Linked DNA regions of Caenorhabditis elegans. The protein of the gene in region 1 purifies or fractionates together with the protein of each later gene. This does not show direct contact. Each region holds a gene or a part of one and is shown in the gene's direction. Other genes may lie near its edges.

Evidence for each region.
Region 2: the proteins of gtf-2E2 (region 1) and gtf-2E1 purify together in Caenorhabditis elegans (affinity purification with western blotting, with the first as the bait; one study listed by BioGRID). This does not show direct contact.

Annotation. Positions count from the first base shown.
Region 1 is NC_003280.10:11,540,217-11,544,324, reverse strand, and holds gtf-2E2 (Transcription initiation factor IIE subunit beta), read left to right. Parts: upstream 1-1,829; 5' UTR 1,830-1,834; coding exon 1,835-1,912; intron 1,913-1,961; coding exon 1,962-2,055; intron 2,056-2,102; coding exon 2,103-2,194; intron 2,195-2,244; coding exon 2,245-2,532; intron 2,533-3,181; coding exon 3,182-3,499; 3' UTR 3,500-3,552; downstream 3,553-4,108. Other genes in the region: F54D5.9 (F-box domain-containing protein), read left to right, coding at 5-181, 236-877, 931-1,194, 1,255-1,514; dhgd-1 (D-2-hydroxyglutarate dehydrogenase, mitochondrial), read left to right, coding at 3,695-3,887, 3,961-4,108.
Region 2 is NC_003282.8:17,253,188-17,258,175, forward strand, and holds gtf-2E1 (HTH TFE/IIEalpha-type domain-containing protein), read left to right. Parts: upstream 1-2,113; 5' UTR 2,114-2,115; coding exon 2,116-2,181; intron 2,182-2,235; coding exon 2,236-2,292; intron 2,293-2,344; coding exon 2,345-2,443; intron 2,444-2,496; coding exon 2,497-2,645; intron 2,646-2,689; coding exon 2,690-2,768; intron 2,769-2,819; coding exon 2,820-2,929; intron 2,930-3,208; coding exon 3,209-3,496; intron 3,497-3,544; coding exon 3,545-3,646; intron 3,647-3,698; coding exon 3,699-4,050; 3' UTR 4,051-4,375; downstream 4,376-4,988. Other genes in the region: eelo-2 (Peptidase M3A/M3B catalytic domain-containing protein), read left to right, coding at 312-430, 480-650, 697-984, 1,084-1,215, 1,471-1,566; phyh-1 (phytanoyl-CoA dioxygenase), read right to left, coding at 4,406-4,462, 4,515-4,598, 4,860-4,988.

The DNA of each region.
Region 1 (4,108 bases):
TCAGTGCAATCCATTAATGCGCTTTCACTGACATCCACAAAGTTGTGCTCACGAGTCAAAACCTACGTTTCAACCCACGATTTTTTCCGTCGAATGCAATTGGATAATCTTGACTTTCTCAATAGCTCACTCCGCCCCGACGATGAAGAATTCTTAGAGAATGATCCTTTCACTGCATGTGGTTAGTGTTGCAATATTTTTATTTTCGTTTATAAATCTAAATGTATTTTAACAGGTGGCCTCATCAAATCCATCACGATCACAATGAACACAAAGATCCGCGCTCAAGTCTTCCTGAACATCTGCCGGAATTTGCGTGATCAACTCGGAGGCTCCCTTCATGGTTTTGGAAGACTCCTGGAAACGATAACGCACAATTGGAAGTTCTCTGAACGTCGTATAATGGTAAAAGCTGCAATCATGATCGACGCTGATCTCCGTCCTTCGATTATCAAGGTTCTTACTGCTAAACCGGGCCAGTTGATAGGTCTCGAGATGAAAGTTCGTTCCGGGTTGACCCAACTCTTCCTCAACTTGAGTCAAGACATCGATGAAGCTTCTCCACAGGAGATTATCGAGTTTGGCTCCTGGTTGTCTGTTCTGATCCGAAACGTAATTGAAAAATATCAGGGAAAGTTCTATTACATCCTATTCGGACCAACAAGATCTTCAAGAATTGGCGAACGCGTCGACTGGGCGTATTTCTGTGAGGACGATTCAGATACCTTCACTTTGCGGAAGAGTGAGCCAAACTATAGGAAATTGCTGTCAACGTTGCTCAATGGAATCCGCGCTCTTCGCATCATGAATAATTCCAAGAGTTCGGACCAAATGTGGAGCGGGAAGAAACTTTATCAGCTTTTCCTCCGGATCATTGGTAATATTTTTTTTTTTAATATTTTTAATTTTTAATAGCTTTTTAATTTTCAGAAGTTTGCGAAGTACAAGGCTTTTGGTCTGAGACCTCATCTTCTATGGCGCTGGCCATTGATTCTTCAGGATTGCTCAGCGAATATCTTGTCACCTGTCTCGATCCTCGCCGCGACGACTATGAAACTCTCCAGAATGAAGCCGCGGAGATGGTGTGTCTCGTACGCAACCATCTTTATCGTTGGTCGGCTGCACCTGCCACGTTTCTCGCCGAACCACTGCACCACGCATTCAATCATCTTGCGCAACTCGATGGTCATTACGGTGAGCGGCGTTCTGTCATCTTTTCGGTGCGAGAAATAACGAATATTATTATTATTACAGACGGTTGCTACAAAGCTTTTCTCGAAAAGATTTGGAACGTTCAAAGTTCACGGTTGAAGGAAATGGTAAAGAACGCGACAAACACAACCGAGTGTTCTGAAAAGATCCGCGAAGAGCTCGACGGTCAGCTCTCAATGGCTCGCCTGTTGACGGATATATCAAACACAGTGGTTCTTCACCAAATAGGCTTCCAGCTTCCAAATGACCTAGCTGCTGAACTCGTCAATGATCCACTAGAAGAAGAGGAGCAGCTGGAATAAATCATGTTTTATCTGTCTAGAAAATTTTGAAAATAGCTTCCAACTGTAGAATTAGTTTTGTTTTTGTTTTCTTTTACTTTTACTTTCACTTTAATTTTAATTTTAATTGTTCAAATTTAAAGCTCCTTTCACTCCTTGTTCCATCTTTCTCATTCTGATAAAATCAGCGAAAACTAATTCACTTTATTGTTTACTACAGGGTTCAGCCCCCTGCCACCATTATTTGCCGGCCACTGGCCTTGAAAAACCTCTTCCATCATCGATTTTCACTCTTAAGAGAGTACTCTTCATTGTTTCGAAAGGTTTTCGTTTAAGCAAAAATGGATCCGGAATTGTTAAGGCAGCGAACTGCTTTCCAGAAGCATGCTGCAACAACGATGGCTGTTCAGAATAAGCCTGTGAGAACTTTAAAAATTAAAAAAATATTGAATTTATCGATTTTTTAAGACAACAGCACCAAATTCACACACAACATACTCTTCAGAAGCAGCAAAAGCGAAAAAGAAGAAAAGCTCTGGACCGGCTCAAAATTTGTCGAAACGTTAGTTGTTAAAATGTAATATTAGTTTCTGAAAACGGAATTTTCAGTCCCAGATTTCAATAATTCCGTGAGCAACGCCAATGCGTTATCAAATGCCACAAATTTCAGTACAATGGCGAAAATTGTGGATTATATGAAGGTATTTATATTTTAAAGCGAAATTTTCGAGTTAAAAACAGTTAATTGCAGAAACGCCACCTAAACAATCAACAATGGCCGTTGACACTTCAAGAAATTCTCGATGAACTTCAAATTTTTGATCTTTCAAAAAGAAGTCTTGCTTTCCTTCAAGAAGCATTACCAAACAATCCTCGACTGATAATGGAATCCGAAAAATTCGCATTTCGACCACCTTACAAAATTAAAGGAAAAACTTCGTTGGTAGCTGTCGCGAGGAAACATTATCAGGACGGAAAAGGTGGAATTCTTGTGTCGGATTTGGCTGAGTGTGTGGCTAATTATGATGCACTACTGCAGGTGGGAATTTGAATAATTTATAACAAAAATAAAGTTTTTATTTTTCAAAAATTTCAGCTAAAAATTAGTAAAATTGATTTTAAAATTATCAGCGGCTTATTTTTCGTAGTAATTAAAATTTGAGTTTGTGATGAATTAGATCTTTTAGAATTTCTGAGTATTCAACAATGTGTTTTTTTTTGATTTTCAAATTGAAATAAATTGAAAATTAAATATATAAATTCACAAAAAAGATAAAATGTGTTGAAAATTTATAAAATAAAATTCAGAAATTACTTTATTTTCAGACTTTTGAACAAATTAACGTTATTTTTCAATTTTTACACGAATAATTTTGATCATTTTCGATCCCATAAGTTAAATATTCCACAAAAAAACATTGAAATCGATAAAAAAAAGGTTTGAAAAAATATATTTAATAAAGTAAAAAAAAATTATTACACTTTTCCAGCATAAAACCTTTTTCCTTAAAAAATTTTCAAAGGAAAAACATTTTTGAAGGCAGAATATTCTCATTATAACTTTTCAAAAACTAGGGTATTTAGGGTTAATTTTGATTAAAAATCAGAATTTTTAAATTTGTCAAACTGAAAAAATCAAAGTATAAAAAAGGAGCAATTTTGTGAAATATTAAATTAAATTTTTCCAGCAAGTATCCTCTGAAGTGATCGTTGTTCCGACACAAGTCAATAAGAAAAAGGATCGAGTCGTCTTCTACAATGACAAAGAATTCACATTCCCAGAGCTCGAAGACGATTTCAAAGCCTTGTGGAGACACGTGTCTGTGGATCATTTGGATGAGAAGAAAATCGAAGAATATCTCCAGAAGAAGGGTCTCGACGCGATGAAGGATCTGACGCCGAAGGTTCGAATGCAGGCTCCACTGAAAAGAAAAGCCGCGAAGAGACGGTTCAATCAAAAAGTACAAAACGAGCATATGGACGGAGTTTTGGAGGATTACGAATGATTTTAATTACACACTTCTGTTAACAGTACATAAAATGAACTATGATCATTTGTATCTCTTCTGTCTCTTTTTCTTATCACTGCCCAGCCGTTTGTTTTCTTATTGTTTTCGGCAAATCGGTCACCTAGCCGAGCTTTGTCTCCTACTATTTCTTTTGAAGTTTCAAGTTATTTTTTGAAAAGTTTCTGAATTCAGATGTTTCTGAAAATCTTGCCACGAATCAGAAGACCAACTAGAAGCTACGCAGCAGTTCTTGCCGCCAGACATGAAGGATTTGCAAAAGTGATGCAGTCGGATTTAATGGCATTTGAGAATTTTCTCGGGCAAGATGCAGTGAAGAAGGACGATATTACAAATCATACTACAGATTGGACAGGCCAATTTAAAGGTATTTGTATTTTAAGATTAGGTTTATTTAATATTAAATAGGTACTTTAAATATTAAATGTTTTAATTTCCAGGTCCTGGCAGTGTCGTCCTCTACCCGAAGAGCACCGAAGAGGTTTCTGCAATATTGGCGTATTGCTCCAAGAACAAATTGGCAGTAGTCCCACAAGGAGGGAATACAGGACTCGTTGGTGGATCAATTCCAGTACATGATGAAGTTGT
Region 2 (4,988 bases), on another chromosome or scaffold:
TAGACATTTCCTGTCGGAAAATTCAGTTTCGATTTTGTTTGAAAACTGAAAATTTTTGATTTTTGTATTTTTGGAACACTTCATTTTTTCCATCGAAAAAAATATGAAAAGACAGAAAAAGCGAGGGAATTTTAAAAATTGTCTTTTTAGAATAAAAATTAGAGGAAAAAATTCTCCTCGTTTCAGACTATCTGGCTTTTTTTTCAAATTATTTTTGCAAAAAAATTCTTTCGAAAAACGTTAATAGAATAAATTCTGTTCAAAAATAACTGCAAAAAACAACACAGGTTAGTTAACAAATATATTTCCAGCGGAATCCAAAGAACGAGGTCTCGACAAGATTGTGTACTTCATCGGCTCAGCAATTGCTCCAACTTCCAACGGACCGTCTCTTCTCCATCACCAGCAGCTTCAGCAACTTCTTTTCCATGTCAGTAGTCGAAATTTTGGGTTTGAATTTAAATTTTCGAAATTTCCAGTTTGGCCGAAGTGTGCAGCTTCTTCTATCACAATCTCCATACCGTGATATTTCAATTCCATGGTCTCCATTCTACGCATCTGACTGGGATGCAGCTGACATGTTCCCAACATTCTTGCAAATGTTCGTCACGAAGCCCAATCTCCTTGCAACAATTAGCTCTCCGCATCAGGTATTTTTAGTCGAAAATTCTTGAAATGTCTGAATTTCTGTTTCAGATCACAAAGCAATCGTTGACCGAAGAGCACGCAAACTCGGTGGCTCTTACGATCTCACGAGCATCACTCTGGGAAACCTACCGTACCCTCTTCTGGTCGGACTTTGATCTGTCGATTTACGAGATGGAGGACAGGAAGCAAAAGTTCTGGCTGGATATGTACAAACAAATGTATGAGGAGTATTTCCCGTTCAAAAGAGCCAAAAATGACTATCAACCGTGCTCATTCACACCGATTTTTGCTCTTCAACCACATATGAGCATGTATTATAGGAAGCTGTGGGCTGAGGTGAGGTGGTTTTCCAGTGTTAGAAAATCATCAGAATTTTGATAAATACTTTTAAAAAAAATTATCTCAATTATTTCTGAAAATTGGCTCAATTTCCAGATGCTCGCCTTAGATATCCATGAGACATTTGACGAGGAAGACAATGAAGTGCAAACGGGAGAACGATTGAAAACGACAATATTGAATAGAGGAAGTGGAGATGTTGCGAAGGAATTGTTCAAAAGATTCCAGGTAGGGGAATCTTCTTTTTTTGACTGAAAAATTGGTGAAAAACGGCATTAAAATAAGCTGAAAATCTTAAATTCTGCATGGAAAAATCTCAAAAAATCGTATTTTTTTAAAATTAGAACGCTTTAATTGAACTCTATTTTTACAAGAAGAATTCTAAAAGAGTTCCAAACAATTACTTTCATTTTTTAAATTCCAGAAAAATGAAGCCATTATTTAATTTTTTTTAAAGAAAAATATTCATTTCCATTTTTTCAGGGCCGAAATCCATCAGTCGGAGCCATCTGTGATCACTACGCCCCACCAATGGCCATTCAAGATGAAATGGAAATGTCGGAGAATCAGAGACGATGAAAATTCCCCCCCGGTTTTTGGAGATTTTCCATCTCTTTTTCGCTTCTCACCGGGTTTTCACATATGTTTAGATGATTTTTTTTCTGTTTTTGTTATATTTTTTTGATAGTCTTAAGAAGAAATAGGGTCTCATAGATTGTTCTCTGTTATTTAATGTTTTTCCCCTCATTTTTAATTTTTGTTTTACTTCAGTAATGAATTCTTTTCTTTTTGAAAATTTATCGTTTTTTGAGATATCGTTTTCCAACGATTGAAATATTTTTGTTTTGAAATTGAAAAAAATGTTTATGTTTTTTATTTAACAGGAAAAAAATTGAATTTGTTTTTGAAAATTACCTTTTCCAGGACATTGTGTTATTTTTTTAAAACCAATTTTTGAAATTTTTACTTTTTTTTGGAAATTAAAAAAAAAACGATTATTCCATTTTTTTTTTGGATATTTTTGAGCTGAATTATTTTTAATTTAAATTTTGCTCACTTTTTTGAACAAAAATTATAATTTATTGATCAAAAATTAAAATTTATTCCAAAAACTAAATTTTTCCAGGCATGTCATCTGGCCCAGCGACCTCCGGCTCATCATCGGCTCACACCGAGACCCAAGTGGTGGATGAGGTAACATTTCCGCGAAAAAACCCACTAAATCTGACTAAAAACCGTCTTTTTCAGATTCCGGAGGCACTCAACACTATATTGCTGATGGTGGTAAAGAACTTCTTCTCAAGTGTAAGCGAAAAATCTGATTTTTCAAAAAATTCTTGAATTTTTAATTTTCCAGGAGCACTTTATCATCGTCTACCACATAATGCGAGCCCAGTGCATTCGCGAGGAAAATCTCAAAGCCCGAATACAATTCGATCAGAAAATGCTCAGACAGGTGTGCTGAAACTTGCTTGAAATTCGAAAATTCAAAAAATTTGACAATTTCAGCTCCTCGCGTCTCTGAAAGCTGAAAAACTCGTGAAAGAGCGCACGATTACGCAGAAAAACGAGAATAATCGAACGGTTTCCATCATTTTCTACTATATAAACTATCGGGCTGTGCTCAACGTGGTGCGCTACAAAATCGATCACATGAGGTGTGAAAATATAATTTTTTCACTGAAAGTTTAAAATTTTCCAGACAAAAACTCGAGTCCCGAGAGCAAATGGACACAAATCGAGCTCACTATCGATGTGGAGCGTGTCAGAGTTCTTATGATGTGAGAAAATTCTTTTAAAATAGAAGAATTCTCTGAAAAAATCATATTTAGATGCTGGAAATCAATCGGATATTGGACGCTGAAAGCGGGCGGCTTATTTGCTGGCGGTGCCACGGAGATGTGTTGGCGGATGAGACGGTAGTACCATCGAGGACGACGAGGTACTTGGAATATCCTGAAAATCTGAAAATTCGGAAATTTCTGGGTTCTGAAGCGAAAATTATTATGAATTCTGATCGAGCTCAAAGCGACGAATTGAAAAATTTTCAAATTGACAGATTTTTGAATTTGTTAAATTAAATCTACAGTACTCTAAAATTTTTTGCAATTTTGAGCTCCAAAAAATTGATGAAATTTTACTGTTTAGGGTCTCCTTTCAAAAAAAAACTTCGGGTTACTGTATCTGCATATATATTTTTTTTTATTTTTTAAATTTCCAGAACCGCTGTGGCACGCTTCAACGAACAAATGACACCGCTCTTCTCTCATATTTGTGCTCTAAACGGTATCCAATTGGCTCCGCATCTCCTTGAACCGGATATCACGAAATATTTGGAAGATGACAAAGAACTGCAACTACAGCAACAACAAATGGACTTTACGTCGGGTGGAGGTGGTGGTGGACGGATACAGTTGGGAGGAGTCGCTCATTCTTATCAAAATATCGCTTCGATCAATTATCAGAATGGAGATGCAGTTTTTGTGGATTTAAATGCGGATATTAATAAGTTAGTGGCCATAAGTAGAAAAATAAACTTTGATTCTTAATATTTCAGGGGTCCTGTGGAAGAAGCCAAAATTATGCCAGAATGGCTCAAGGATAATGCAATAGGCGGTGGTGAAGCTTCACACAATGAGCATGTACTGGATCAGGCCAAGTACTTTTAAATGGCTTAACTTTTATATTTCAACAATGAAACCTTTTTTCAGAACCGAGGAAGAAGAAACATCAACGAAACAGCGACGTTATGGACCATCTCTGGACTATCTGAAGGAGATTGAGTGCAGTTCGGAGGAATCTGCTCCAAATGTCAAAATTGAAGAGCCACCTGCCAAGCAAATAAAGATGGAAGTCGACGAGGAAGCTATCAAAATGGAAGTTGACAACGACGAAAGTGAGGAGGAAGACTTGATCCACGTGGCGGGGCGAGCACTTCCGCTGAGCCAAATCACACCTCGAATGGTCGAGAACGAGATGAGTGAGCTGGAGAAGGAGAGCTATTGCAGTGTTGTGCAGGATCTTTTTGCAATGTTCTTTTCTCAACAAATTGCTATTCATTAAGTCTCGGTTTTTTGAGATATTACCGCCAAAATTTAGTGATGTCTAGGATGGTATAGAGGATTGTTTACTCTCCAATTCTCCTAATACCGTCAAAATGACAAATTGCCTTGAAATTTTTATATTTTCCCCTACCATTCCCTCTAGTTTTTCACCTGTTTCATCATCATTTCATCACGGTTCAAATCCTTTTTTATTTTTTTTCTCGTTCCAGAAATTTACTATTGTTTTAAAAATAATATTATTATGATTGTGTTGTTTTACTCTCATCATTTTACACCATTTATTCGAGTACATTTCAAAAATGAAACTTTATTTCGCGAGATTGAGAAATCGAGTTTGAACGTTTGGTTATCATTTACAGATTTTCTTTGCCGTCATGATGGACTGGACGAGAGCGCAGACGCCAGGTGAGCTGGAAAAAAGCGATATTGACTGGCGGGAATTTAAATTTTCAAATGACAAACCTCGAAAGTGACCTCCTGTCCCGGTTTCACGGCATATCTCTTTGGATGCTTACGGATGATGTCCTCAATCTGTTTGCCGGCTTCCTGGAAGAGAAAATTAAAAAGTTAGGCCATTGACAGGAAAATATTGCATCGCCAATGTTTCTTTTAGGATTTTCAAGAAAATTCAGAAGGATCTAATAAATTACATTAGAAACTCGAAATTTTTGTTAAAGATCTTTAAAGATCTCAAAGCTTTGCATTAAAGATCTCAAAGCTTTGCATTCAAAAAATGCAACCACGCTCTAATGGTAAAGCGCGGGTTTGGAGATCAACCCCCAAGCGCGCTCTATCGCACTCTCACACCTCTTGAGCGGTTCCCTTGACATCAATGTACTTCGTATGATCATAGTTCGCGTAGTGACACGAGATCGCCTTTCTGAATCCCTCGGATCGATTGGCACCGGATCCATGGAACAAGCATGGATGGAAGAA